Coturnix japonica: one gene and its partners. The protein of the gene in region 5 purifies or fractionates together with the protein of the main gene of each other region. This does not show direct contact. Links are inferred from orthologs where the notes say so. Each region holds a gene or a part of one and is shown on either strand. Other genes may lie near its edges.

The links.
Region 1: the proteins of SIN3A (region 5) and MTA1 purify together in Homo sapiens (affinity purification with mass spectrometry; 3 studies listed by BioGRID, with this or other methods). This does not show direct contact. The link is inferred for Coturnix japonica from reciprocal best matches to the Homo sapiens genes SIN3A and MTA1.
Region 2: the proteins of SIN3A (region 5) and ING2 purify together in Homo sapiens (affinity purification with mass spectrometry; 5 studies listed by BioGRID and IntAct, counting the BioPlex papers as one, with this or other methods). This does not show direct contact. The link is inferred for Coturnix japonica from reciprocal best matches to the Homo sapiens genes SIN3A and ING2.
Region 3: the proteins of SIN3A (region 5) and SMARCC1 purify together in Homo sapiens (affinity purification with western blotting; 3 studies listed by BioGRID, with this or other methods). This does not show direct contact. The link is inferred for Coturnix japonica from reciprocal best matches to the Homo sapiens genes SIN3A and SMARCC1.
Region 4: the proteins of SIN3A (region 5) and SAP130 purify together in Homo sapiens (affinity purification with mass spectrometry; 4 studies listed by BioGRID, with this or other methods). This does not show direct contact. The link is inferred for Coturnix japonica from reciprocal best matches to the Homo sapiens genes SIN3A and SAP130.
Region 6: the proteins of SIN3A (region 5) and SAP30L purify together in Homo sapiens (affinity purification with western blotting; 4 studies listed by BioGRID and IntAct, with this or other methods). This does not show direct contact. The link is inferred for Coturnix japonica from reciprocal best matches to the Homo sapiens genes SIN3A and SAP30L.
Region 7: the proteins of SIN3A (region 5) and ARID4B purify together in Homo sapiens (affinity purification with mass spectrometry; 5 studies listed by BioGRID, with this or other methods). This does not show direct contact. The link is inferred for Coturnix japonica from reciprocal best matches to the Homo sapiens genes SIN3A and ARID4B.

What each region holds. Positions count from the first base shown.
Region 1 is NC_029523.1:3,943,507-3,947,449, forward strand, and holds part of MTA1 (metastasis-associated protein MTA1), read right to left. Parts: intron 3,497-3,943; coding exon 3,379-3,496; intron 1,865-3,378; coding exon 1,762-1,864; intron 1-1,761. UniProt on the Homo sapiens protein: Transcriptional coregulator which can act as both a transcriptional corepressor and coactivator. Acts as a component of the histone deacetylase NuRD complex which participates in the remodeling of chromatin.
Region 2 is NC_029519.1:35,244,214-35,248,676, forward strand, and holds the start of ING2 (inhibitor of growth protein 2), read right to left. Parts: upstream 3,110-4,463; 5' UTR 2,778-3,109; coding exon 2,579-2,777; intron 648-2,578; coding exon 1-647. UniProt on the Homo sapiens protein: Seems to be involved in p53/TP53 activation and p53/TP53-dependent apoptotic pathways, probably by enhancing acetylation of p53/TP53. Component of a mSin3A-like corepressor complex, which is probably involved in deacetylation of nucleosomal histones.
Region 3 is NC_029517.1:709,632-713,574, reverse strand, and holds part of SMARCC1 (SWI/SNF complex subunit SMARCC1), read right to left. Parts: intron 3,460-3,943; coding exon 3,390-3,459; intron 2,496-3,389; coding exon 2,426-2,495; intron 1,429-2,425; coding exon 1,353-1,428; intron 1-1,352. UniProt on the Homo sapiens protein: Involved in transcriptional activation and repression of select genes by chromatin remodeling (alteration of DNA-nucleosome topology).
Region 4 is NC_029524.1:1,643,766-1,647,708, forward strand, and holds part of SAP130 (histone deacetylase complex subunit SAP130), read left to right. Parts: intron 1-1,071; coding exon 1,072-1,320; intron 1,321-1,448; coding exon 1,449-1,574; intron 1,575-2,401; coding exon 2,402-2,505; intron 2,506-2,742; coding exon of another isoform or gene 2,743-2,835; exon of another isoform or gene 2,836-2,875; intron 2,876-3,185; coding exon 3,186-3,299; exon of another isoform or gene 3,300-3,300; intron 3,301-3,513; coding exon 3,514-3,672; 3' UTR 3,673-3,943. UniProt on the Homo sapiens protein: Acts as a transcriptional repressor. May function in the assembly and/or enzymatic activity of the mSin3A corepressor complex or in mediating interactions between the complex and other regulatory complexes.
Region 5 is NC_029525.1:1,983,135-1,987,521, forward strand, and holds the start of SIN3A (paired amphipathic helix protein Sin3a), read right to left. Parts: upstream 3,126-4,387; 5' UTR 3,069-3,125; coding exon 3,059-3,068; intron 2,270-3,058; exon of another isoform or gene 2,106-2,269; intron 1-2,105. Other genes in the region: PTPN9 (tyrosine-protein phosphatase non-receptor type 9), read right to left, coding at 3,592-3,800, 3,883-4,090, 4,164-4,314. UniProt on the Homo sapiens protein: Acts as a transcriptional repressor. Corepressor for REST. Interacts with MXI1 to repress MYC responsive genes and antagonize MYC oncogenic activities. Also interacts with MXD1-MAX heterodimers to repress transcription by tethering SIN3A to DNA.
Region 6 is NC_029528.1:5,890,376-5,895,028, reverse strand, and holds the start of SAP30L (histone deacetylase complex subunit SAP30L), read right to left. Parts: upstream 3,000-4,653; 5' UTR 2,680-2,999; coding exon 2,494-2,679; intron 601-2,493; coding exon 478-600; intron 1-477.
Region 7 is NC_029518.1:34,298,939-34,302,881, reverse strand, and holds part of ARID4B (AT-rich interactive domain-containing protein 4B), read right to left. Parts: intron 3,596-3,943; coding exon 3,523-3,595; intron 3,007-3,522; coding exon 2,912-3,006; intron 1,940-2,911; coding exon 1,842-1,939; intron 1,628-1,841; coding exon 1,360-1,627; intron 452-1,359; coding exon 279-451; intron 1-278. UniProt on the Homo sapiens protein: Acts as a transcriptional repressor. May function in the assembly and/or enzymatic activity of the Sin3A corepressor complex or in mediating interactions between the complex and other regulatory complexes.

The DNA of each region.
Region 1 (3,943 bases), on a different chromosome or scaffold from region 5:
AAACAGCAGCCCATGGAATGGCAACATGTCAATCTCCCATAGAAGAAAAAGTTGAAGATGCAGCTCTCAGCACGTAAAGTGCACTGCCTTGTAGGACACGACATAGGTGATCCTTCTGGATTTCCAGAAAGCCAGACATACCATCAGCTCTGACTGCTACATCACCATGCTGACTAAGCTGAAGGCTCAAATATCCACAGTCAGGTCAGAGAAGATGACAGCCTTAAGCCAGGCCCCATACCAGTTTGAAGACAGTGGAGCACACTGCCAGTCTTGGCTGGACTGTCCTACCACACCCACCATATAGTCCAGATTTGGTACCTTCTGATTTCCATCTATTTGGGCTGATGAAAGATGGGCTGCACAGGCGCTTTTTTCCTAGCAACACCACCATCGTAGCAGCTGTGAAACAGTGGGTCACCACTGCTGCTGCAGATTTCTATGAGCGTGACACACAGGCTCTTGTTCATTGCTGGAAAAAATGCATAGCTAATGGTGGTGACTATGCTGAAAAACAGCATTTTGCAGCTGAGAATTTGCTCTACCAAACAGCGTTATTGTGCTCTTTGTATCTGTTGCAGTTTCCATAGAAATAAAGAGGAGGCACTACTTATGGAGCACAGAAACTTCTTGTCTTGCACACTTAAATCTCCACATTTTAACTCAATTCTCCTTAACTCTGCCCTTTTCTTTCCCCCTAGTATTTTCCTAAGTCTGTATCATTCAACGCGTTGAAAGCATTTATTATTGTTTCATAAATGCATTCTTTTTGCATCATTCAACAGCTCCAATCAGAATTAAGAGTCCGTTCCAGACAGTTTCTTCCACATGAGCTCTCATGTTATCTCCTCAGGAGACACCCCATTAACTAACCCACTATAGACACAGCAATACCACACCCAAGAAAATTCAAGAGGAAAGTTCAGCAGTGTGGTAACTCAAGATGTGTGTGCGGAGTGAGGGGGGGGAAAACACACCCCCTTCCTCCCCATATCTAATAGCAACTTGCTCCACTGACTATAGATGGTCTAACTAACCATCTACTACTCACACTGCTTTCCTCCCATGCTTCCGCAGTCTTAAAAACTTACCCAGGAGACAGTTTGGAGAGCACTACCTCCTTGTTTAATTGTAGACATTAACTTTTAGTATCAGCTTCTGTTCATATAAACAAACAACACTGAAAAGGGTCACAAGCATTTTATAAAGCAAACACTGATGGACAGACCGCCTTGCGTTTAAGTAGAAGCATAAAACTCACCACTCCTCATCTGTACTCATCCACTCCTCATCTGTACTCATTTGCAGGGATTTACTTTATTCGTTCTACCTGTTTTCTAGTGCCTAGATTCCAACATCTTCGCTTTTAACTATTACAACTTAACTATCATCGCATGTTGAAACGTGGCTGGATTTGAAAAAAGGGACAAAGTGGACTCTAATGAACTGTCAGGAATTCAGCTCACTGCTGGCCAAAGAACTTGGAAAACCTCACCAGATACAGGATCATTTTCACATAAGATAGAAGAAAATGATTAACTTTTTGAAAGTAAAAGCTGTAAATCCAAGTAGCTGTTCACAAAGTCATGCAGTTCCCAGGAAGGCATGTTAACACGTCCATCATTTCAAAATGAAACACATGAATCAAGCAACCAAACCAGCATTCGTACCAGTAAAGTATAAAGAACACACCAAAAATAAAGTGCTTAGAAAAGATGAGTTACTAAAACCTTATTCAAAGAAGTGATAAATTGCTCTTACCGTGCTACCACCAAGAACTGGTCTATCTGCTTGTCTACTAGTGGGTTGAAGGCTTCCCAAACTTTTGTTTCAAGTTTTGACTGATCTCTTCCATCATCCTCACCTGGTTGAAAAACATGTTAGAAACGCTCAGCGTGGCTGTTTGGAAATAAAATTACTTGCCTGGTTTCTTATCTCACAATTATTTAACCACCAAATCAACTCAGATACTCTGCCTTGACAGTGAAAATTTCATTCATCCATTTGGCTGAGACAATTTCAGCTTGACAGATGCATCAACCCAACTCATCCAAATTAGGCCACCGGATGCTGAAGAGCTGATATCTAATGGCACAAGTGATGGGAAACAGAGCACGTCCTTCCCCCAAACAGCCTCCTCTCTTCAGCCTCCTCCCCTGATTCTCTCTCCTTCTCCTCTACCTGGCCGCAGTTCCAGGAAAGCAGGCACACTCCCAGCTGCTCTGAGCAGACAAAGGGTAGCTGGCCCTGTTTGCAGCAGCTGCTTTCTAAGGGGCAAATCATAGCATCAGATTCTTTTACTTCTACTCTCCCAATGCTAAACAAACCAAAATATCTTGGAAAAAATACAGGAGCTGAGTCTCTCTTTTTAATTTCAAACCCCTTTTGAAACATCTGGAGATTATCCTTCTCTGAATTCCCATGTTGATGGCTGAAGGAGGAGAATGCCTTTCAAATTAGTTCATCCTCACTTAGGAGGCCAGCCCAGCTGCCAAATAAATGCCACAGACAAATTAAACAAGAGTCCCAACCAATTTGTTGGCTTATTCTAACATTAGCCCAACAGTATCTGTTTTATGCATCTGCAAAGCTCTGAAGCAGACTGAGGTGCCTCACTGCTTTCACCTCTCTGCCTGGGGAGTTTTGTAGAGCCCCTTTCAACATGGCTCATAACACCAGCTCTCTGAGAGCATCAACAGATTGGCCTGAGCCCTACACAGGTCTCAGAGAAGAGCTCTTCCACCCATTGCAGTGCAAGAACCAGTGTGAAGCTGGTATCTGTTAACTAACAGCCCATTTTCCTGAGCATGTGTCCTTGTGTTCCTTCTGCTTCATGAGCAGGGCAGGCTGAGGTCTCACAACGTGCTCAAGGCAGCAAATTCCTCCTGCTTGTTCTGCAGGTGAGAAGTCTAGGCTGGAAGCCAAGAGCAGCAGACAGGCAGGGGGCTCTGAGGAAAAGGCATCCAGCAATAATGGGCAAATTGATGTGGGGAGACAGCATTTAATTGGCAATAATTTGGGAGCGGCTCTCACAGGGAAGCGAGGCTCGATTAAAAACACAAAGGCTATACAGATGCGATGGAAATCTGTGCTTCCCATAGAAATTCTGAAATCTCCTAAAATGAGCGCAAGCTCTGAGAGAGGCAATTAATTCAATTTGTTTCAACAACTTTTATGATTTGGACAAATGCCCGCTTAGAGCCTGGGCTGAGACACAACTAATTGCATGCAGTGGGCAACTGCTTCAGTCCCTAACAAACCAAAGCAGTGATGCACACAGGACGTGGTGGTAGGAACCTCTGTCTCCCACACAGGCTGCATACATAAAAGTGGCTGCATTCCACATGGCCTCCTGACAACTTAAATTATGGAAATTACCCTCTTTTAATAAGTCTGTTATATCTGCCTGGTATCTGTTTCCAACTCGGATTTCTCCTTTATCAGCAAGTAGAGTCTTTTGTTGAGGATCGTACACTAGTGAATAGAAGAAGAAATCCTAAAAATAGAACAAAAACAGAAAATAAAGTATTACTAGCTTACATTTTTACCATATTATATATAGTAGAAAGCTTTTATGCTAATTTGCTCACCCAGTCTACCCATAGCAAGTAAAAACAAATTACCAGTCCCCTTCTTAGCACTTGCTTAATAAAGATCAGGATGTGGCCTTTCTTGTCTCAGGGACACGCTGCTGACCAACCTGTTTCCCCTCATCACTTAAGATTAAACTGCCGTCTTTCTTCTGCTGCTTATTGGGCAAAGGGAAGCAGATTTGGCAGCAGCAGCAGCTAGCTGCAGGTGGTAATACATTAATTTGTTGCTTTTGCTCAAGTAGATGAGAAAAAGGCTGAAAAAAAAAGCTGCTTGGTTTCTGTCACCTGGGAAGCATGAACGATTAAAGCAAGAAATCATACCAGAATGAGAATGTCCTGCCAGGGAGGAG
Region 2 (4,463 bases), on a different chromosome or scaffold from region 5:
GGATTTGTCAGTACATTTGTCCATGGTTTTCTCGTTATCTCCTCTGCACTTGGGGCAATACCACTTCCCCTTTGGTTTATAGGTGAGTCCAACACACGAGAAGTGGAACCACTCAATAGGACACTGTTCGTTATCACATCCTATCATTTCTCCGTAAGACACCTGGTTACATAAGCAGTAAGTCGGTTCATTGGGATCAATCGCAAATTCCACGGGTGAAACCTCTCTCTCTTGTTTGGCTTTGGAGCGTTTTTTCTTCTTGGAAGATTTGGATCTCTTCTCTTTCGGTGGCTGATCGTCGCAGTCGTCGATCCCGTTTGCTATGTGGCACAGGTCGCGGCTTTCACTGGTCCGCTGCCGACGGGGTCTACGTGAAGATCTCTCCGGCTGGCAGGACTCCATCTTTGCCTTTTCTAGAGGCTTGTCGTTCTCAGACAGGTCTTGAAAACACTGAGAGTGAGTTTCCATCTGTCGGGCTCTGTTCTCTACCAGTTCCAGCATCTGAGTAACTATCTGAATTTTTTCATCTCCCAGTTCTTGACTGTTGATTAAAGCACGCTGGAGATGCTGCTGCAGGCGTTTCTTCTGAACGGGATCGTTCTCAGACTTGTATTTTTCATAGACATCGTCTATTTCTTTTAAAGCTTCTACAAAACAAACACAGTACGAATAATTACACGAGATAGAAGGTACATATCTGTATTTTGTTGAGCACGTTCAAACGGACGTGAAACAGTACAAGTTTTAATTACAGTATACCCCAGTGGGCTACATCAGGTATTTAATTCAAGTTACACCTGAGCATCAAGTCAGTGTTTAAGGTGGTAATCCACTGCATAAAAAGCTTCTCAAGTTCTAAGAAAAAGCAAGATGCTTTTGAGCACTGGATAAAGGGAAGGGTAAGCCCAGAAAGGTGAACGCTGCTGCCAAAGCCAGAATGGTCCAAATTCTGACTCAGCATCTGACAAAGCAGGATTTTTTTGCTGAGGTTCCATATTAGAGTAGTTACAAAGCCCTGGCCTACAAACCAAAGCTTCTCATACCATAGGAAGAATCTCAGAATTCACTATAATCGTGTAACCATCACATTACAATCCAAAATTAGGATATGCAGGTCCTCTGCCTCCTCCTTTCTATACACGAGGGTTTAGCACTACCTTTTCAACAGCCCTTAGTTACAACAAAGTACCACAGTGGAAGCTACATATTAACAGATGTACAATCAGGATCTAAGACAACTTAAACCACTCCAAGTGGTGCTGGTTGTACCAAGAAGTTACATCCAGTTGTGTGTTACATTGAGGCAGAACTTGTCCTCCACATTTTCCCTTTTGATGGATTTTAAAATACTATTTTCCAGACGGAAAGCGACACTACATCTACACAAGAAAGACAGAGGAACTGCTGAAGCAGAAGGAACTAAATCAGTGGAGCTGACAGCGAGATGTGACGGGGTGCTCGATACAGCACCGATCCCTTCACAACTAACTTACAGGTCTGTAACGGGTAAGCGAATTTATGAACGATACTCAACTGATTCCACAACCAGAATGGACACGGAACAATCTCTCATCCTGCACAGCTCTGTTTATAGGCTGCCTTTCATTTTTAAATTAAACGCTTTGTGCAGTTTTAGAATGATTCAAGCTCGCGCTAAATGGAAGCCACGGTTATTATCTCAGCGTTGCTCACAGTGATTTCTTTTCCTGCTGACATCCTGAAACAGCACCTTAAGAGGGAACGGTCACTTTTTACTATAAATACTGAAATCTGTATGGAAACAGTAACCAGCAGCACTTTGTTCTACTGCAGACCTTCACCAGAGGAAGATGAAGTCAGTGCTCTGCCCATCTAATAACTCACAGTGCCAGTACTCCAGCTGTCACTGAAAACACAGGTTTCGCTTTCCTACAGCTTTCAGCTGCATCTGTTGCCTTGACAGGATAAAATATTTGCTCTGAGAAGTGCCGAGTAAGGCACTCTGTAGTCTGAACAACTAGAAAGACTAGAAAATGTGTAGTGACAGAGCGACAGGTTCACTGAAGTACTTCCTTATTAACCCCTTATTAATTAGAGGAGGTACCCGTGTCCAGCTAGACAGCTTTAAAACCTCTGCTTAAAAAGGAGGCTAAGAAAAACAGACCAGGACCAAGCGTCCATTACAGTTCATCTGCTTGAGTTTGGTGGAGCTGAGAAAAGAGAGTTCCAACGCTGTCAGCACGGAGCAGCTGTGCAAATCCTGCAGGCACCAGCACTCCATCCTGACCGCCCCGTGTGCCCCCGGCGGGCACGGCCCCCATGGCGGGGCGGAGCACAGGGCTCGTAACGGCCCCGCAGCCCCGGGCACACCTCGTGCTCACAGGCGACAGCCCTGCCTGCTCGGCGCTTCCCCTTCCACCCCCCGCCGGATTTCAAGCTGAGCGGGGAGGCCGGGGCCTAACGCCGCAGCCCGGAGCCCCGCGCCCAGCGCATGTGCGGCGGGCGGCCGCCTCCCCCCCACCCCGCGCCGCCCTCCCCTCCCCTCCGGTCGGTCCCTCCCTCCCGCTGCCCCGCGGAGGAGGCCGAGCCCCGGACCCACCTTGGCAGCGGGTGTCCACCTCCCGCAGCAGCGACACGTTGCGCTGGATGTCCAGCGGCAGCGACTCCACGCACTCCAGGTATTCCTGCACGTACAGCGACAGCAGCCGGGCCCGCTCCCCGCCCGGCGCCGCCGGCCCCGCCACCAGCTGCGGCCCCGCCAGCATCATCCCCCCGCTGCAGCCGCTCCAGCCGCACATCCACCGCCGGCACCGGCTCACGGGGCAGCCCCCGCCCGGCCCGCTCCGCTCTGCCGCCTCCTGCCGCCTGCCGCCCCTCTACCCGCGAGCGGCCGGACCGCTCAATGCCGCGGGACCGGCGCACCGCCGGGCCGGACCGACCCACCCGGACCGAGCCGCCCGCCTCGGGTCCCGCTCAGCGCCCGGCGGAACGGCCGCCGCCACAGCGAAACCCACTTGGAGCCCCCGCCCCTGGTCGCCTGGCTACGCGCATGCGCGAGGCCCTGCCCTTATAAGGCGCGGCTAGAGGCGCCGCCAGGGGTTCGCATTCTCCCGCCTTCCCCTCTCGCGCGCTCCTATTGGCCCGAAGGGCGGGGGGGCGGGATATAGCGCAGGGGCGGAGCCTCCCTTAAAGGCACACGCACCCTGCTCCTCCCCCCGCTGACGGCCGGGCGCCGACTCCGCGGGGAGCGTGGCGGGGCCGCTCCCTGCCGGGGGCACCTGCCGTGGCGGCGGGCGCACGGACGGCCGTGAGGCGGAGGATCGCCCCAGGTGCCCCGGCAGCGCCGCGTGTGGGCGGGCGGCGGTTGTGGGGGCGTTGGAGGCGCGGATCCGTTCGTCAGCCGGCTGCTCTCAGCCTTGGCTCTCGGCTCGTGCTGCCCGGCTGTCCCGGCACGGCGCTATGCCGAGGTGTGGAGTAATGGCCCGAGTCAGCAGCGTGGAAAGGAACGGAAACAGGGGGGTGGGCAGAGCTAGCGGAGGGTCGGAACGTGAAGGGCAGCGATGAGTCTGAATGGTCGCGGTTCTGTGAGGAAACAGAGCTGAGAAACAGATTCCTGCCATGCAGCGTAGGAGTAAAGCAAGATACAGCGTTAATTACAGACTGTGTGCTGCAGCCTGATAGCCCCGTGACACAGCTGCACCTATCAGGTAGATCCAGACTGCAGGCTATTAATTAAGACTGTTAAGAGTTAATTACCAGGACGCATTCAAGAATTTCTCAACACGCCGAGTTACTCTATGCTGATGTAACACCTAGTGCCACAGTTAATTACTGCTGTGCTATGAAAAACATCTTGAAGGATAGTGAATAAAGCCATGAGATAATTGAGTTCACGCGTTTGAAATGACACCAGTCACCTGATGGAAGCCTGGCTTAAGGAATTCGTAACACTGTCACGTGTGAGGATGTTTTCCTTCCCACGCAGGGAAATAAAGGTGGGAGTAACTCACTGCAATTCTTGCCCTAAAAATGTCTCCACTGACTACAAGGGAGCGCAGGTCTATTGTCACAGATGTCGGCAAATTGAATTCCATTCCGTATGCTGAAATGGGGTAATTAGGCGCCTACAGTTACCAGCTACGGATGTGCCATTTGTTATAGACTCGGTAAGGATTTGGGTTAGACTTGTCAAAATAAGGGCAGCATCTCCGCGCACACCATGTACCTGCATTGACGCTGGCCTCACACAGCTTTGGATGCAGCCTTTCACTCTTGGCGGAGCAGCCGACGCGGATAAAGTTGAGCCACAAAACGGGATGGCCTGAGAGTGAGCCCCGTTCTGTTGGTGCTGCGGCCCGGCTGCCGGGTCGCTCGGCACTACCTGCGTGTCTGTGCCCGTGACGATGGCCCGCCCCGCGCTCACCCGCTCGGCCCGGAGGCGTCTCGGCGGCGTCACGTGGGCTGCGGGGCGGGGCGGGCGCCCG
Region 3 (3,943 bases), on a different chromosome or scaffold from region 5:
ATTTTAAGTCATCTCAAGTGTGAGGTCAGCTCTCACAGCTGGGGCAATGGCTCTGCATTAAAAGCACACTTCAGACACCGAAATTCCTCCCAGAATCCAGCAAGTATGACACAGATTGATTTATACACAAAAAGCTTAAGTCCCATTTACTTACAAGCAGCAGTTTGGAATAGGGAGTGTCTGAACAGGCATCACATGGAGTTATTTTCTGACCTGAGCTGCCCTTTCCTAACTCTGCTATTCACATTAACAGCACAGATACAGAACAACACTGCATGTGATGCATAAAAGAGTAAGTCCAATAATAGGACGCTAAGTAGTATTTACTGCTGTTTGTGACTGCTTTGTATTGTCCTCTTGCAGTGAAGCAAATCAAAATGACTTCTTCCATCCCTGCGATGTCAGCTACGAGCAGAGCTGCCCATTAAGCAAACACTGCTGCAGAGCAATGTGAGCTGTGGCCCTCAGGGGCTCTTGAAGCAGCTGCTGTCATCTCAGAGGTTCCCATTCGGGCTCTCACTCCCAGGACAGCTGCGTGCCCACAGCTGTGCTGCCTGCAGCAGTACCAGGGCTCGTGGCACACTCGGTCACAGCAAGAACCAACAGGAGTAAGAGGCAGCATTGCCAGCAGTGCTGAGCCAAGGGAAACCAGCAGGGTGGGATGAGGGCACGGGGAGCCCATCCAGCCCCGCTCTGCTGCCAGTACCTGAAACTACTACAAATAAAGCTGCCACAACAACAAGGTTCTATTTGCACCAGAGGTTTGTTTCCTAAAGAAGCCCCTTTCCAAATGATCCACCTCCTACTCCTTCTGGTCACTTCCATGTATGAACTTTCTGGACACACAAAGAAGTGCTTTAAATCCTGTACTACGTGTGAAGCAACCTTGGGCCCCCAACTGGATGGTTCTCTTCTATCGCAGCATCCTTCAGAAGAACATCACATAGATATGGTATTATCCCCATCCCCACTCCTTAACGAATTACACCCCAGTAATGAGCAGTCAGAGCTCCTCCCAGAGACAGCTCCATCTCAGCAGCAGAGGAAGGAAATACCTTTAACACAAAACCCTGCAAGTCAGGCCAGAACGAAGATGGTCATTTTAGCATTATGAGGGATGCATTCATCTGCCCTCATGGCCCACAAGGGGCGTTTCCTCACAGTGCCCCCCTCAGACCAAAGAAGGGTGTTGGGTGTTTTCATTACAGCTCTAGGAACAGCACTTTCCTTTTCCATACATATGGAAATACAGCCACTGATAGTCAGCAGCACATTAAAACATCTACCAGTCACACCCACAGATGGGTTCTACCAATACAGCGACTCTGGGAAGCTCTTCCAGGCAGACTCACCTTCCACGGCTTTTCAGGAATCGGAGGATCCTCAATTTCAGCATCTATTTCATTGGCATGAACCCAAGTGTCGTAGCTAATGAGAAGAGGCAGAGAAAACAAAATTGGTCCCCTGGGCTGCTCATCCACAGAGATCACCAGCAGGAATATTTATTCAGCAACTCTGACATCTGCAAATCACACCGCTGGGATGGAACGGTGAATTATTTTCCACTCAATGAAAGGCAAACAAAGGAGCCATCATTGGCTCCTGCTGTGGGAACAAGGCACTCTGAGAAGGGGGGTGCTGAGGCATCAGGGCACATTGTTCACTTTCTGATCGCAGATCCCATCTCAGCAATGCTTCCTCCTGCTGGGAAGTGCACATTTAGCCTCTGGAGTCAGGGCTGCAGCTCACGTGGAGTCACTCGTGCAAACCCTCTTAGTAAGTTAATTGTCTCTTAAGGATTTAAAGTAAGAGATACCCACACTCTTAGGAGAAAAACGAATGCATCCCCTTCTCCAATCCCTACAGCTGCACAACCCAGTCATTATTAAGGCACTTATTCCCCTCATAAATCTAATAGCTAATATTAAGAAACTGCACTCAAGACCAAACTCCCTGGTGACCCCTCAGGCACTGAGCAGCTGGAAAAGCCATCCTTCAGAAAATATGTGTGCAGCAGCTTTTTTATGCTTATACTGGTATTTATAAACCTCTTTAGAGACACACCTATACAGCACACACACCCTTGGTCATATGATAGAGAAATATTTAACAGTTCACCAGTACAAAGAAAGATGCTTAAGCATGACATTGCTTGCTCTCTCCTGCTGAAACATGTGTAGGGCACAGGAGAACACATCCGTGCCCACTGCTCTGCACAACAAGAGATGAGAGCAGCTGCACAGCTGGGACACCCTCCATGCAGGCACTGAGGGCAGAGCATGGCTATCAGGAAAGGTCAAACTTGGTAAGCTGAAGGAGCAGCTTGTCTGAGGACACGGACTGACCTAATGGCAAGTTCTAAGCAGCCCTTTGCTTTTAACTAACTTGAGACTTGAGGTGTGCTTTCCTCCCCCCCTTGATTTACCTGTCTGGAAAGAAGCCCCAGTGCACCAGCACCTGCTTGTCTTTTTTCATCACGGGTCTCAACCATTCATCTGCAAAGGGAAAAGAGATCTGGATCAGATTCAGACTGCAAAGTAGATAGCACATTATTCTGCTTTGCTATAGTCAAGCATAGGAAAGCCACTGCAGTTATCTCTGATTAAGTATATCGCAGTGAAATTACAGTGTCCTGACCCACAACAACAATACAGTTGCCTGCAATCACTTTGCTGTCATGAATAAACATTCATGTGCTCAGCTTGTATAAATCACAGCTATTACATTAGGAAAATCATCTTAATGCAAACAGTGATTGCCTTTCCCTCCCTGGCTGTACACATCCATACCCCAACCCGCTGCTGACTAACAGAGCCTGAAACACATGCAACCCTTGCCCAGACCCTGGAGCAGTGGTTACAGCAACGCAAACCTGTGGCTAGACATGTATTCCAGGAAGCACAGAACACACAGAAAAGCACCAATAGACAAAGGGTCCTCCATCATCCCAATGTGGAAGTGAATACTTCCCTCTAGTGGAGCTGGGATGCCAGGGCATACCAGGAACAGTTGGCAATGGCAGAGCACCAGCAAGGACCTGCTGTTTAACATAGAAATACATCAGAGCTCTTTTTGGCCAGGTTGGATGGGGCCCTGGGCAGCCTGGGCTGCTATGAAATGGGGAGTTTGGTGGCCCTGCCTGCTGGAGGTTGGAGCTTTGTGATCCTTGGGGTCCCTTCCAACCCAGGCCATTCTGTGACGCTGTGTTAAACCTGGTGGTTAGAAGCAGAGCACAGCAATTCTATCTGGAGTTTTAATCCTAAAATTGCTTTACAGGAGATCCCAGGAGCAGGTTAAGATCATTCAGTGCCTGTGCGAAATCTCCTATAGGTGCCAAAAGAATTTAGTTACAAAATTATTTCCACTTCCAAATAGGAAAGCATCTTTACCATCATCCATTGAGGTAGGACTTGGATACACGTGGTGGGTGGCCTTGGATTTCTCCTCAGTTACTGTTCCCTGTGGGAAAGATGGAGGGAAAAGACATCAAGTGAGCAACAACCTCATTCCCCCAAATACCAATTGTTTCCTTTTAACCCCATATCCCACACAACCCAGAAACACTGAAGGCTCATGGCAGCATATATAAGCAAAATGTCAGGCCTTGCTTCCTGCCTCTGCCAAACTGAATATGTCTGGAAGCGTAACCAGGTGGTGGCACACAGGTACAAATGCTAACCTTGCTCATCACCTGTTTTCAAGGTCCTAAAGTATCGTTCTGCTGCTTCTTAAGAAATCAACACTCATAAAGGAAATCACCACGAGGAACAGTAAGGACTTCAGGAGCAGACTGCAGAGCATTAACCCTCATCTCAGCAACAGCCAGCACCTGGGGTCAGCTCAAGAGCTATGAGTAACTCAAGAACAGCTATGCAGTTAAGGCTGAGATGATTCATAACCATAACGCAGCAAATACAGTGGAAATGTGGATAGGAAAGCTTTC
Region 4 (3,943 bases), on a different chromosome or scaffold from region 5:
TTTCACAGTAGCACAGAAAATAAGTCAAGGAGTTCCTTCACGCCTCACTTTCTTATAGTTCTGATCCCTGCCTACTGCTTTTCAATATAGAACAAGGGACTTGGTTTTGTGACATGACTGAGGTATGACATGCTATATGAGCACAGTATGAAGTCTTAATGGCCCAGTAAATAAAATGGAAAGCAACGATTCAGGTTAAGCTGACACAAGTTAGTAACTCCTAGAAGGAAAGGGCATTGCAGCGTCTGAGAGGGTTCCTGTCTCAGGTACTAAGAACCGCAGAACAGCAACTAGGTGAGCATCTCTAGGTTCTAATTTGCCTTGTTCTCCTTGATCTCCTGTGGAAACCACTTGGGGTTGGAGCTGCTTTCTTCATTTTCAAACAGTCCAGTTGCAAAGAGTGTATGAATTGCATGCTTAGAACACAGTCAGCAGCAGAGCCAGTATAATACAAACCAGTGCAGTTAATCTCAATTGAGATTTCATCCCAGACATTTGCTGTGTATTACGTGGCACGCTTGGTTCAGTCCCTGCAAATGTAAAGGGTTATTTTCCCCTCAGGCTCCCGCTGCTGTGCTGCCAAGCTCCAGCAGTCTGTTGGTTTGTACAGCAGCCTGCTGACACTGGCTGTTGACTTGGCAGTATAAGTGCACTGACAAGGAGAGCACTGCAGTCATGGTTTGACTACATCTGCCTCTACCTGCACTGAAGAGGGGACTTGCCTGTTTTTGATTGTGATCTGTGGTGAAACATCAATTCAAAGATGTTTTCTTTACTGACCATGTGAGAGATATTAGCACAGGTTCCTTTTCAATAGCATTCAACTGCTGCAAGCCTTGAAGGTGAAGGAACTGAGTGAGAACAGTCTCTTGTCATTTTTTGTTCTGAGGATCTTAGAATACAGGCATTGTCCTAGTGATGAGTCCTGGTTCTCATATACTAAGGGATGAACTGCATCTGTGGTGGAGCCCATGTTTCTCACAACGCACTGAGAGGAGATGGTGTTAAAACACAGTACTGCTACCTCTGTGCCACTGGTAGTTGAGGTTCTTCTCCTTTCTCTCCTTCCAGCAGTCCCTCCATTGACTACAAGTACTGTCTCTCCATCTTTGGCACTGCTGGCCAACAACCTTTCGATGCCTCCAAGTGATTTGCCGCCTGGTGCCTCCCCAAGGAAAAAACCCCGTAAGCAGCAGCACGTCATCTCCACAGAGGAGGGAGACATGATGGAAACAAACAGCACTGATGATGAGAAATCTACTGCCAAAAGCTTGCTGGTGAAGGCAGAGAAGCGCAAGTCTCCTCCCAAGGAATATATAGGTAATGCCATCTCTGACACTCTTCTCCTACTTGAACATCTGTGTTTTACCTGTTGCCTGTCACGATTGCTGCCGTGCTGGTCTCCCATGTCACAATAGTAACACAGCTGTCTGTGATCCCTTTTGTAGATGAGGAAGGTGTGAGGTATGTCCCGGTGCGTCCCAGGCCTCCCATCACATTGCTCCGCCACTACCGCAATCCTTGGAAAGCCGCCTACCACCACTTCCAGAGATACAGCGACGTCAGAGTGAAAGGTCAGTGTGCTGCCTGAGGAGCTGCATGGGCTGATGATGATGATGATAAGCTGCCCCACAAGCAGGCTTTGCTCACAGTATGGAACACAAGCGTTGGTCACTCACGTGAGCTAATGACTTAGTTAGCTAGATGTTGCTTAGATCTTTTCTCTCTCAAGACTGAGAAGAAAAGGGGAGGATCTTCTATAGAGTCAGATACAATTCTAACTGTCTGGTTAACCGAAAATGTTATGTTACTGAGAAATGTATTTATGTACAAGGATAGAAACTGCCTAAAGAAATTCCTAAATAGATTATATAGCGGTAGGCTATGGCTTGGCACTCAGATTGCCTTACTACCTAACAGTGCTGCCAATGTAATCAAAAGCGTTCCCTATTTAATGAGTCTCGTGAGCTAACAGATGGGCCTGGTGCGTTTCTATGGGATGTTTCTGATAGTAAGAGGAAAACTGAGATCAGGTTCTGTGATTTGGACTTTGTGGCTGGTAGGAAGGAGCAGATAGGTATTGCAGCAGTGTGAGATGGACTGCTTGCTTCTTCATGTACAGTGTTGGAAGCAACACCTCGTTTTAGAGGAAGAAAGGGAAAATCAACATTGCAAACAATAAAAAATGATCTGAAAATGCAGATGAGCCATTGGGGGGTGAGAGCAGCCTTCAGGTAACGTGGCAGATGAGTCGTTATGTTCCTGTCCCAATCAAAGTGTTGCTGACTCTTCCTTAAGCAGGATGTGTGGAAAGCAGGAGCTGGGTTAAAGCTTTTGTTTGAGAACAGAGGCCTGGTGGACTCCTGAAACTTGAACCTCTATTTGTGTTTTTTGGTGACAGAAGAGAAGAAAGCCATGCTGCAGGAGATTGCCAGTCAGAAGGGTGTATCCTGCCGTGCACAAGGGTGGAAGGTCCATCTGTGTGCGGCGCAGCTGCTGCAGTTGGTAGGTGCATGGGACGTGCCGGCTGCCTGTACCGCGGGGAACACGGAGCTCTGTAAGGCAGGATGTTATCACAAACTCAGTACATGCTCACCTGATGCAGGGATGCCATAAGCTGGTGTGTAGCGCCCAAAGGGAGTGGGACACGCTTTTCCCCTTTCTCAGGAATGTGGCGTTAAGTGGCTTGGAAACTTAGTGTTGGTTTTGATCCAGACATAAGAGCTGATGTATTTTGTACAGATGATCAAAATTGGCAACTCCCTCCTGCTGATGCACAGGTCTGAAGAAGCGTCTGTTTGGGATGGTGCGGCTGATCTGAGGAGGCAGCACTGATCCACATTCCTGGATGCTTCTGTTTCAGGTTGGGGGTGAGGTAGGTGCTCTGCATTCTAGCACCAAACTCCCCAAAACCTCTGCATTCCTGGAATAGTATTGTGAGAGACAGGGGAAACAGTTCTGGCTAGGTTCCATGTTTGTTCAGAAGTGGAGCAATGCTGTGAATAGGATGTTTAGTAAGAACAATAATGCCACACTCAGCATCAGAGGCTCCATCTTCTGAATGACTAACATGAGCAGCTGAGAGGGGAACAGACGATTGTCTTCTCTGTGTAGATTTCATAATGTGGGCAGATGTTTTATGGGCCCGGTGGTGAACCTGCTCATGAAGTGCTGTTGTCTTGTAGACAAACCTGGAGCGTGACGTGTATGAGAGACTGACGGCCTTACAGGAGGGGCTCATTCCTAAGAAGAAGGCAGCAACTGACGATGACCTGCATCGAATCAATGAGCTGATACAGGTAGGCTCCTACTGGCCCCTAAGCTCAGAAGAACTCTTCTACCTTTAGTAATTGCAGCAGGATGTTTTCCAAGTAAGTGCTGAATCTGGCTTTAAAAATAACACAATAATAAAGGTGCTTCTCCTGCGTCATTGGTTAGTGGGGGCTTTATACAGTAAAGGTGTTTGTTGTGACTGTTTATTCTGCTGTTGGTGACGATAACGTTTTATTTCAGGGCAATATGCAGAGATGTAAACTCGTGATGGATCAAATCAACGAGGCGAGAGACTCGATGCTGAAGGTGTTGGATCACAAGGATCGTGTTCTGAAGCTTCTGAACAAGAACGGAACTGTCAAGAAAGTATCCAAATTAAAGCGGAAGGAGAAGGTCTGAAGCCAGAATAATGACTCTGGAAATGGAGGACGTGTACAGGACGGAGTTACGACCTTTTGTAGTTTGAGTTTATTTTTAAGCAGAGCATCTGAATAAAAAACAAAAGGATGAGTTTAGAGAACAGATGGCAACAGATGGACGTGTGGAGCCCGGTGACCTGAAGGGATTGTCGCTGACCCGTCGGAACGAACAACGCTTTCTCTCAGGCTCATTCATTTTTTAATGTGTTTGGCAGCCCCACGTGTGTAACCCGGTGATGTGTCGGTGCCGA
Region 5 (4,387 bases):
GACTTTGACTCAAAGCATTTAGAAAGCCCCAATTCAAATTGCATCATCTGCGATGCTTAATTGGGGAGGGAAAAATAAAGACTGCGAAATACAGCATGGTCTGGGTGAGACTGAGAGCAAGCCACAAACTTTAGGTACTGTCCTCCAATAAGAGCATCCATCTATATGCTCAGCAATGGCTTTACAGAGCAAGCTCCACTCTATAGAGACCACATGGACCTGCATCCCCTCCCTCCCAGCACCAATCTATCTTTTAACTTCAATCAGAGCATCTCCTTACAGGAATACACCCCTCCACAGGAGGATAAAAGCTTTTTCACTTTCCTTTTCCTGGGCTGTAAGTTCTCCCCTTGCAGGAGAGCAGTGAATAGTGCAGGTCTGCTGCGTGACACCTGTTGGAGCCACAACACTTCTGCACACACAAATGATGCTTTCAAGAACAAGTTGTGAAACCCAACCCCACAAGAGAGATTTCAGACCTTGCAGATGCAAACCCGAGACACTCCTGAAACAGGGGAACAGCACAGCTGCCGGTCAAGCATCTAAGATTTGCAGGAGCTGCTTTAAAGCCCTTAGGAGGCTGCAGAATGCCAGCTACAGGCACCTTGTGAATATGAACCTCTAGAGAGGAGCTCTGATGCCACTAAGAGCCAGAGATGAGGACAAATCCCAAGCAGAGGGACACTTTTGCATGTCACCTGCTGCCTGAGCAGGCTGGAAGGACACCCCAAACTCACAGATCCTCACATTAGCAGCAACGTTGCTGTCACATTGAATTTTAAGCGTTAGTACCTGGACTGAGCTGTGTAGAGTGAGGATGGTTTGCTCTTAAGGTGGAAAGGACCCAAAGCTTGGAAGCAGCCCATGAGTGGCTCAGGATCAGAGAGGTGACATCCTGGCTGCTTGCTCGTGGTATGCCCTGCCATGTGGGTTCTCCTCGAGCCTTGGCATCCTTACCTATGGTCTCCCTTCTCACATGCAGGCAGAATGAGAGCAGTACCTGCAGCCACTCTGTGACAGCAGAGCCAGGGGAGCTGGGAGAAAGCAGCACAGCACCGAGAGTGCACCCATAGCCCTGCAGCATGGAACAGCAGCCATAGAACTGTGTTGGCTTCACCAGCCACGATGGCTTCCCAGTATGTATGGCTCATACATGCTAGGAAGGTGAGCAACTCACTCCTGTCATGGTTATGCCTTTCCGACAAGCTCACAGCAGACTGGTGGCCATGAGCACAGCGTGAGCTATGTCTTCCAGCACCCGTACACAGCAGCGCTCTGTGCATGGCTTAAACGCAACGGGATCACGTTCTTATTTATGTACCACCTCGCTGGGCGTGCTGAAGGTTTCTATGCCCCCATTGGACACAGTGACCATGCATAAGTTGGGCTTGGAAGGGACCTGTGTAAGAGGAAGGGCTGGGTGCCCTCTGGCCGCTCTCCCTGCTTCAGCCCCAGCTTTACTCACGCTGCCCCTCAGCTGGGGGGGTGGGGAGGAAAGGAGTGGGGCTGTTCCTAACGCCGTGCTGTGGGGTTGGAACTACGTGATCCTCGAGGTCCCTTCCGACCCGGGTCATGCTGTGATGCTGTGTGGGAGCAGGATCCTACAGGTGCTTTGAATCAGCACAGGCTCCTCGTGCTCGCTTGGAAGCGCCAGAGGAGCCTCCAAAGCAGGAAGCAGGAGCCGTGAGGGCAGCGCTGCTGGGCCGAGCTGAGCCGGGCGGGGCGGGGCGGGGCGGGGCTGAGGCGGCCCCGCGTAGTGGGCGGCGCGATGGGCGGGAGGCTCCGTCCCGCAGCGCGCCCAGCGCCGCTCGCCCCGCCCGCCGCTCCCGCCATGCCGGGCTCCCCCCGCACACACACACACACACACGCGGGAGGCTCCGTCCCGCAGCGCGCCCAGCGCCGCTCGCCCCGCCCGCCGCTCCCGCCATGCCGGGCTCCCCCCGCACACACACACACACACACACACACACGTACACACTCACACTCACACACTCAGGGCTCAGCGCGGTACCGGGCCCTGCCCTGCCCCGCCCCGCCGGATGGCTGCTCCCCCCCCCTCAGCCCCTCACGGCGCCGCGTCCCCCCGATGCCGCCTTTCCCCTCACCTGGAGGCGGCGGTGCCCGGCGGAGTCTCGCTCCGTCCCGGCGCTGCGCTGAGCCCCGCGCTCGGCCCGCGGGGGAGGCTCGGGGCGCCGATGTGTGTAACCGCCGCTCGGCCGCCGCGGCGGAACGCTGCCCGCTTCTCTGTTCCCCGGGAAATCCCGCCCCTCCCCGCCGCAGGGAGGGGGGAGACCCGCCTCGCGATTGGTCGAGCCACGCGTCGCTCAGCGCGCGGCCCAATCGCCTCGCTCGGCCCGCCCCCTCCGCCCGCCCCCATTGGCCGCGGCCGCCAGGAAGGGGATGTGGAGAGGAAGGGGAGGGGGGAGCGAGACCCGAGAAAAATGTCCGTACGGCCGGCAAGCCCCGCCCCCTCCCGCCCCCGCAGCCTTCCCATTGGGCGGCGGGCTGAGGAAGCAACCAATCAGCGCGGCGGACCGCTCCGCCGTCACGTCGCGGGGGGGTATAAAGCCACGCCCCCTCTCCGGGGAGCCCTTTTGTGGATGTTTACATCGGGGCGGACCGGGCCGTGATGGCGGCGGCACCGACCGCGCGGGACCGGCACGCACCGCCACGCCGCCTTTGTCCCACCGACCCCACACCACTTCCGGGAGCCAGCACGTGGGGGGGGGAACACAGCCAGCAGCCAATGGCCGCGGGGGGCGGGACCGCACGGCGGCGGAGCGGGCGCTCCCCACCCCCTCCCCTCACACACACACACACACATACACACACATATACACACACACATACACACACACATATACACACTCACATACACACACACACACACACAGCCGCGCTCCCCCCCCACTCGTGCGCGCTCCCGCGGCGACCGTTGGGCGGGCGGGAAAAGCGCGGGAGCGCGCCTCGCTTCCTCCCCCCTCAGAGCTCCCCGGGCCTTCCCATCCCATCACACCCCACATGAGGGGCCCGCTGGGCGGGCAGCGCTGTGACATACCCTGTGACATACCCTGAGCGCGCAGCGAGGCGTCCTGAATGGAAACGGGAACTCCCCCCGGGGCCCATTGGCCCTACGAGGCCGTTCGTCACCGCCGGACCGCCCTCGGGGGGCTGATGTGGGGAGGAGCGACGAGAAAGCAGCTCGGAGGTGAGATCGCTCTTCGGTTTGCTCGCTTAATGTTAAATACCACAGGGGAAAAAAAAAACCAACAAAAACACCCCCAAAAAGCTCCTCCCCCACGCTCCGGGATTATAAAAAAATAAGAATATACACATTCCAAGAGCTTATTACAGTATAAAGTTCCCGATGCAGCAGCTTGCGCTGGGAACACAACCCCCCCCCCCCCATCCTTCAGGGCTGTTCTGCGTACAGTCTAGATGGTCCCACCGAGAAACGAACAAACAGACCAAAAAGGAATAAAAATCATAAGAAAATAAACCATCCCAACCCACCCCCCCTCCTTTTCTTTTTGTCCCTCCTGCCCCGGCTTGCTTGAAGTTAAGGCACAGTTCCCAGCTGGCAGGGCTGTGTCAGTGCCCGGCCGAGCCCTTGTGGGCGGCAGGCAGCAGGCCGCGGCGCTGGGCGTGCTCCAGCACTGCGCTATAGCAGAAGTAATACTGCTCCGGGGTCTGGATGCTGAATGCTCTCTGTGTCCTCATCCGCTGCACCGTCTGCTGGATGTCCAGAGTACCCACATCCTGCAGCTGCGATAGGCAGATGTCCAACGCACACAAAGTACCTGGGGATGAAGGCAAGCAACGCTCAGCCAACACAATGCAATGCAACACCCCCCCTGTGCTGGACTGTGCTGGACTCCTTACCCGTCCTGCCGATGCCGGCGCTGCAGTGGACCACAAGCGGAGGACCCCCCGGGTGCCCCTTGAAGCGTGGTCCCAACGCACTGACAGCCACACGCTGCTGCTGCTTCACAGCCCCCAAGAAGTCAATGAGTGTTGCTGCCGATGAGGGCACGCCGTAATCCGGCCAGCTCAGGTATTGGAAGTGAGAGAGCAACCGCCGCTCCTTGCCCTAAGGGTGAGTGGGGTGGTCAGTGGGATGGGATAGCCCCGCCACAACCTTAGCACATAACCTTAGCACACACCTCGGCACTGTGGAGCTCTAAGATGGTTTTCTTGTAATGGCTGAGGTTCTCCACGCCCAGGTTGGTGATGGTCAGCGCCCCAAAGCGCATCTGGAAATCCTTCTCCAGGGGCCAGTACTGGCCGCACTTCCTCCTGCCCCCCTCCTCCAGCCTGCGGATGAGACAAGGTGACACGGGGATAATGTTCTTCCCTGCCAGCATCGTGTGGTGCCCTGTGTCCCATC
Region 6 (4,653 bases), on a different chromosome or scaffold from region 5:
GCAGAAGCCCAATGTCTCTGGTTGTCACCAGTCATACAGAGGTTGATCTGATGTTCCAGAGCCTTTGAACTAAGAACCACATTGGGAGCACAGTCCCCTCTGTAAATACATGAGTTGATTAGCTTCAAAAAAAGGAAGCAATGTTTTCTTATCTAAAAAAGGTAAAGTAACCCAGCAGCTCCCTGTTTGGAAATGGTACATACACTAAGCTGTGCAGTCACATTATTATACCTCTTTTTATAGAAAGCTTTACACGGTCGGAGAATTCCTATGGGGATGATGAAGAAAACCAGGATATCACACAACAGCTGAGTCTTGGAAATAAAAAAAAATCAGGGCAACTTCACAGTAGTTTTGGTGGTGCTGAAAATATCCAAGTGAAATTTCACCATGTTCCAAACTGGTAAAGAATCTACAACCAATGTAAAGAATGTAAAGATGTACAATGTAAAGAAGCTACAACCGGTAGCTACTGACCTCCGGGACGTCCGTCTCATGCTCAGGAGAGTCTCCTCCATCATCACTTGTTTTCCTTTTCCGTTTGTTTCGGACACTTTGAATAAAGTTCTTGTGAAAATCACATATGTACAGATGTCTCACCTAAAAAGCAGAAGTGATAAAGAAAAACAATACAATGAAAACAGGCAGTGTAAAAATGGCATCCACTCAAGCAGCTGTATTACAGAGTACCTGCTTACTGCCTCGTGACTAACATTAAGACATTTCTAATCTTAAAGCCCAGGCATGAAAGATTACCTGCACTACGAACACTAAAAACAAGGAAAATGAAGGACTCGAGGGCTGCAGCCGAACCTTTGCAGATAACATATTTCTTTTTTATGGGTGTAATCACATGTCAGAAGAAAAAAACAGTGTGCTGTCTGGAGGAAATGCATCTGCTTTAGGAATTACTGTCAGGGCGCTACCAAGAGAAATGTTGCTCTGTTCCAGACTTGCGAACTTTCTGGTTCGAGCAGAATGTGAGATGATCAATTTAGACAAAACAGAAGTTGGCTATTTAGCTCAATTAAAAGGCAAACCAACAGCAAAAGCATCCCTTTGCTGTAGCTTTCCTTGTCACAGATGCCCCATATTTTAACTGGGATTATCTCACTAGAACCAGCACAAAAAAGGACCACGAGTGATCAAAACTATTTGATAGCAATAAAATACGAATATCTCCAAGTGATGCACACGCCCTGCATTCAAAATGCCTTCATGCAGCACACTTCATACACTCCATTAATCCGATTCCTTCTTTTTATATCTGAAGCCTCTAACCTGGCAATGAAGACTTACTTCCTAGAATGAAGTGACTGCAGCAGCACACAAACCCACGGCACAGAGACCAGCAGAAACAAGATTTCATCCCTAAAACCCCAGAGAGTTCAAATTTACTCCCCTTCTTCCCATCACTTTCTGTATCTTGGCTGCGTAAAAGGGACACAGCCAACAGAAGAAGCTGCCAAACCGAAGGACTCGGAACTTCGCCTTCTTTATTTTTCTCAGTGCTTTCGATCTGAGATCAGATAAGAACAACAGGCAGAGCAGACTTCCGGCAACAGTCTCACTTCTGAGAAATGCCCTCTGCAGTTCCCACCGCTGCTCTGCTCTATGCATTCTCTGCTCTGTGCATTCTCTGCTCTATGCATTCTCTGCTCTGTGCATTCTCTGCTCTGTGCATTCTCTGCTCTGTGCATTCTCTGCTCTGTGCGTCCTCTGCCCGTTTCTATCTTGAGCTGACAGCTGTCACTTGGTGGCACAAAGCAGCCAGCAGCGAACCAAGCCGCTCGGTGCCAAGCAGCCAACACATGTGCAAGCGCTCTATTTAAAAGGCACCTCACATTCTGAGTTTGATGCAATGGGTTATTTTTAAGTGATCCGCTCCAGTGCTGCACTCATTGAATCGTCAAACAGACGGCACGGGCTGGAAGGGACCTTAAGGACCATTCCCAATACTTCCAGGCTAAATCATATTCCTCAGCACCACATCCAAGCGTTTCTTGAACACTCCCATGGTCGGTGACTCCACCACCTCCCTGGGCAGTGCATTCCAATGCCTGACTACTCTTTCTGAAAAGTAATACTTCCTAATGTCCAGCCTGAATCTCCCCTGGCGCAGCTTAAAACCATTCCGTCTAGTTCTATCACTGATTACACGAGAGAAGAGGCCAACCCCCAGCTCACTACAACCCCCCTTCAGGAAGTTATAGAGAGCAATAAGGTCTCCCCTGAGCCTCCTCTTCTCCAGGCTGAACAATCCCAGCTCCCTCAGCCTCTCTTCATATGGCCTGTGCTCCAGACCCCTCACCAGCTTTGTAGCCCTGCTCTGAACACATCCTAAACAACCCCTGCTGCTCTCCCCTCTGCACCACGTCCCTCAATCCGCCGCAGTGTTACGGCAGGGCATCCCGTGCCCTACTGCCAAGAGCTGGATGTGCTTCGCCCCCAGCCCCCGGGGCACCCCGTGTCAGGCAGGAGGCCGCGACTCACGCTTTTATCGATGTCCAGCTTGAGCTTCTTCTGCGAGATGCTCTTCTGGATCCTCTTGCTGAAGGACGCGTTGCCCGCGGGCCGCACACAGCGATCTCCGTCGTCGATGAGGCAGCAGCTCTGACCGTAGAATGGGGCTGCGGGCGGCCCGTCCCGGCTGTCCTCCTCGGTGCTGAACCCATTCATCGCCCACCCACCCGCCCCTCGGCCCCGAGCGCGGAGCCGACAGCCGCGGACGGAGCCGCCGCCCTCAGCGAGCGGCCCTCGGGGGGACCCCGCTGCTGCCCGCGGGGGCCCCCCACGCCCGCAGGGACCCCCTGATGGGTGATGCCCCAAAGCGGTTCAGGAAGGAGCCGCCGCCTCTCGCTCCTATCGGTGCCCGCAACGAGCCGAGAAGCTCCGCTGCCCCTCGGGTAAAGCCGGGACCCCGCTCGCAAAGCTCTCACACACAAAACCGCCTCCCCGGCGGCGGAAGTCCCGCTCCCCGCCTGCAGACACGGCGGGGCAGAGCAGTGCCGCTGTGTGATCCTATTGGGAGGCGCTGCCGTCTGTCTGCCCATACACACAGGCTCCTCCTCTCCTCCGCTCTCACACGGCGGCCGGAAGGCCGGGATGGGGGCGGGCGTCGTTGCCAGGGCACCGCGGTAGAGAGAAACAGCGGCCTCCACACACAGCCGGCACCGCCACCCCACACAGCACCCACAGGCTGCTCCGTGCTAATGAAACACCGCCACAAAACACAGCAAAAACAAGGAAAAGCAAATCTGGGGGTGAACGTGCATTGCTGCCCTCGTTATGAGCTCCTTCAGACACGCTCCAAGCAGCACCCGACCCTGAGGGGATAGTGTTGAATAAATATCGTTTCTAATTACACAACTGAGAGGGAAATGTTGGTAAATCACCTTAGGATGTGCTGTCAGCTGCGGGACTGCAGGCAGTACATATTGCTGCCAATGGGAAGAGCAAAATCAGCTCATCTGGCTGAGGAGAAGACGTGTTGTACAAGGAGAGAAGCAGCGTGCTATAGGATAATGTATTGCTGCAAGGTCTGAGCTCATACACAGGGAACTCAGACACAGAGGAACAGTGTGATATAGGATAATGTATTGCTGCAAGGTCTGAGCTCGTACACATGGAACATACATGTGAAAAGATGCACTTCAGAGCAGGCTGAGCTGTGCTGAAGTTACCCATGTGAAATACAGACAGCAACATCAATGCTTGTGGCCTCTCAGACAGCCAAAAAGCACTAAAATACACACGTTCCAAGCAGCCCTTGCATCACCAAGTGTGTCTCAGGATAAATACTGAGGGCAGGGCTCAGTCTTAGTGCACTTCCTTCTTTTTATTCCCAAGTTGCCTTGAAATATCTATTAAGGGGGAAAATAAATGTTCCTCTTGCTTCTGTTTGCTATTTCAATGCCAGCTACTTCCAGCTCAGGGTAATACAGTGACACATCCTTCCAGTCTCTCAGAAAAAAAAAGCAGGTGGAGGTCTTCATATAACTGCAGTCTATTTCAGCATATTTATCCTCACGGGAACCTGAAGATTTCACAGTCTGCTAGACCAGAACTTGCTGGCTGTAAAATAAACTGCTTCGCAGAGCCGTTCTTTATTAGGTATCTATCACTAACCTGATCTAATAATTCTTTGTGGGAGCTGCAATGAAGTGAGAAACAATGTTTCATACACCCATCAGCACCGAGGCAGCTTTAGTGCCTTTGAAGCAGCGATAGCCTGCTCATCCGAGTCAGCCTCTAATGAAATTAAGGGAACATGCACAGGCCCTTAAATCTTACCTGGAACAGCTCTACCTTCTAAAGATAGGTCTGCAGCATAGCTGTCAGCTGGAAGTTGCTGTTCTAATGGCATCATTCACGGTTCTTGAGGCAGAAATACTATTCTCCAAAGAGTATGTGCTGCAAAAGATGTCCCGAGATGGCCTTTTTTTTCACCTCCAGTCAGAAATCAGATTGTTCCCATTTTCTCTGTGTTGGAAGCCCATGGAAACACAGCACCCAGATTCTCACTCTCATCACTGTTTCTGTGATGGCATATACTGAGTTGCAGGTGGCATTGCTGTGGTGCTTAAAGTCCCACAGCTATAGGCATGTTCTGCCCCCTTCTCCTCCCCCCCCCCTGCTCATTTTATTTCACTG
Region 7 (3,943 bases), on a different chromosome or scaffold from region 5:
TAAGTGAGATTTATACATTCTGCTGCTTGCTAAGCTTGCAAATATTTTGGCCTGGATCTTTTAAAAGCCTTACATAAAGCTTTATAAAAATGGTTACATATTTTTAATTAGACTCACTAACTTCAGCAGCACTAACCATGAGAAAGAGCAGCACACAGATCTCCAGAAAACAGGAGCCTAATCACAGCAGGGAGGTAATTTGAACTTCAAATCAGACAAGAGTAAAGTTAATGAGCACACATCAGATGCCTTATCTGATTACAAACAGAGTAACTTACCCTGATTTGTCTTTTTCGTCAGCCTCTGCATTTATGGTAGGATTTTCCATTTCTTTAATCTTTTCCTCTTCTTTATCTTCTAATTTGATTTCATCTTCAGTTTTGATTACATTCAAGTCCTTTTCTTGGTCAGGCTGCGTATACACTGAATCTGGTAAATTTTTTTTGTTCCCCTAAGACAATAAAACCTTCAGTTAATTTACAAGAAAAAATAAGAATTCAGAGGATTTCAGAAGAACAAAATGCACAAGTTATTGTGAAGGGAAAAAGAAAGCACTAGATTCTAGGGCTCTTTCTAAAACTACAGCATTTCCACTGGTTTTATGTTTGAAATTCTCAGCACACATACAGTAGTCCTTGGTTGAATCCAATCTCCTAGGTTTTACTACAGCAACATTAGCACACAACTCTTAAAACAGTTCACAGGATATGTCTGCGCTCAGTATGCAGAAACACCAGCATTAACGGTCACTGTGGAGTTAGTAGCAGCAGACAGGCCAGGGCTGGTGCCACTTGCATACATCACAGCTAAGTTGCATATTGACTTGAAGAACTACACCACTTCCAGAGCAAACTGCTGTACCTTCACTGCTCAGCTTACCACCTCAGTTCTCCTTTTCTAAAACCACTGGGCCAGTATTGAGTTTTGAAAAGGTAAAAAGATTTGTCTCTCTGGATTAGTGAAATAATTATGCCACTGCATACACCATATCTCTCTAGAACCTGGGAGGGCTTAAAAGCCTAGCTCAATACAAAATAGAAGTATCAGCAGTGAAGATAGTTGTAAGCATGCATTATCCAGATCACAATACAGCTGCATGCTAATCAGTCCCCATTTGACTCAAGAGTGCCCCAAACAGGTGGAAAGCTTCATCTGCTTCCTGCCAATTCAAAGACTTTGACACCATGAACCTCTAAGACAGACACTGAAGAGACAAATATTGCTCAAAACTAATCTACAGCATGTTATTTGTCTAGTTTTAAATCAATTACAGAGATTTGTCTTAATACAAACTCATAGTTATCAACACATTATCTGCCTTTATCAACAGGATATAACATGAACATTAAAATATTTTACCAGAAGCACGGGCTTATCATTTTCTTTACTTTCATTATCATTCTCAGCTAGCTTTTTTTCTTCTTGTTGTACTGCCACTACTTCCTCCTGCTTGCGCTCCTCCTTATCCGCTTTTATTTCTTTTACATCCTGCTCTGGATCTTCACGCATCTTTAAATCTTTTTCTTTTTCACAGTCTTTACAAGGCTTGCTTGTCACTTTCTCTGGTAATGCCATTTGAAATTCAATATTTGCTGATGTACAGTACTCTTCAAAGCCATAGAGATATCTAAAAAAAAAACCACACTTCTGATAAACAAGTTTTTTTTGAAGAAAAATTGTGTTACCTAGCAGAAGCTTAATAGAAGAAATATATTTTAAAGCTTACAAAGACTGCATTACAACCAAACTTATAGAATTTATGTATATTGCCACCACTATCACAAGAACTCTATTTCTTTTTAGTGCTGTTTTAGCATAAACTGTGTGGCTTTATTACTTACTTTTTGTATGCACATTTAACATTGTATCCTGCAGCTGAATTCAATACAGGGATTCCAAGATCTTGATAAACTTGTTTCCACACTGCTCCACTTTCAATCTGTTAAAGCAAATGTAACAATGGCTGCTGAATTAACTGACATACAGAAGACCAAGCTGACAACATCTACAATTTCATACAATAGTATTTAATTCTCTCTACAAAATCTCTATTTATTGTACACTCTACTTTGTAATGCAAACTGTAGTCTAGTGTAACTACTTGTTGCAATTTAGCATTTCTGCACTTCAGTAAGCCACAGCTGGCCTTTCTCTCTAGGTGGTAATAAAGGGGGAAAAAATACAAAGATCAGCACAGTTAAAATAATTCCTGAAATATCACATCTAGAATTTTAATTAAATTGAAAAGAAAAAACCTCAAAGTATTAATAATACTACATCCCTGCAGCACTGCACCAGATAATCTAAGACTGGTAGCTACTGTATATCTTTAACGCACCCTTTGGTGTCAAAGCTTTGTGACAGTGTGACATGCTCATTTCTCACCATCTGTGAAGGTAAAAGAGATCTACTGTGATACTAAGTACAAGATCCTCCCTTCTATAGTAGAAAGGCGGCACAGCACAAACCAACCTTCTCAGCTGACAGGCTAGATTTACGAGAAGTAGCTCAAAGCAGTAACAGAATCTACTTGACTAAGAATTCCCTATGCATCAACTACTGCACCAAGATGAATTCCTGTCAGCATGTTCCTCTATATATTGCCCAGAATAGGTAGGAGTTAAGTGCCTCACAACCAACTTGAACTTACAGTTACTTGCCTTTGGGATTTCACTGAGCAGCAACACTTTTCACTTCAGGGTAACGATTTTATTAGACAGACGTTTCTTGAAATCTCACAGAAACACACTGATTTTATGCTGCAGTAATAACACACTCAGTAGACAATTTATTTAAAATATAACTAGTTTCTGGTAGAATTCAGTTTTAATATCTGGAGCTGCTACACAATACTTTATTCTTTATTAAGGAAAAACACCACCCTTAGACTTTATAGATCAGTAATACTCACATTATCAAATCCTCCAAGCTTATGTACAAGTCTGAATAATTTGAACAGATTCAAATTTCTATATCCTAGTACAGGTCGTTTGTTAATAGGAGTCCCTGTAAAGACAGACAGTTATTACTGTGTTTTGAAATATCTTTTTGAGAGCAACATGAAATCTACTCCACATATGCTACTACACCATTAAATAGTACGGTAAATTTTCTGACCATCTGGTGCATCTACTATTTATTTTTTGTGAAAACTAAAACTCATGAGGTTTAATAAGCCATTTTGCCTGTAGTTCATTAATACAAATAAATTCATACATTTGCATTATTCGATATATTAACAAGTATGCACAAACGATGCAACTTCTCTTGCTTCTTATATAAACATTTCTATTTCACCCACTGAAAAAAAACTGCCTCTAAAAGAACCAGCCTATTCCTGCTGAGGGGCAGAGTTAACAGACAGACTCATCTTCTGAGAGGATGGGAAGCCAGACATGTGGGATACAGTCTCACTGTTTCCAAAAATAAACCGTACAGTATTACTAGTTCACAGACTCAGGTCTTTGAAGCACTGCTAAGCAATACCTCTAAATCTAACAAGTCAAACACGGAAATGTGTACCTCTGTCTTCCATGAACTTGTATAATTGCTGAAGAAAGTTCTCCCTTTCTTCAGGAAAAGGCTCTAGTTCCTCCTGTTCAAGGAAAAAAAAAAAAAAAAAAGCACACAAACATTTTACCCTTGTGAGTTACAGGTTGTCAATAAGAAAATCACTTAGGTTCAAAAGTTTAAGTTTGTTTTTACTGCAGTCAGGAACAAGAAACTATACAAACAAAATTGGCCTCAATGCTATGTCACGTGGAGTTTTATATAGCACACATTTTCAACTTACGTAAGGCAATAACTGTAATGACACATCCGAAATTGGATTTTTGATGAATCTCTGTCACAGATATCATAAATGCCATCAATCAAGACACATTCTTAATTTTGTTCCTTCACACAAAGTCTGGGAGATACCAGTGTTAATGCTCAAGGGATA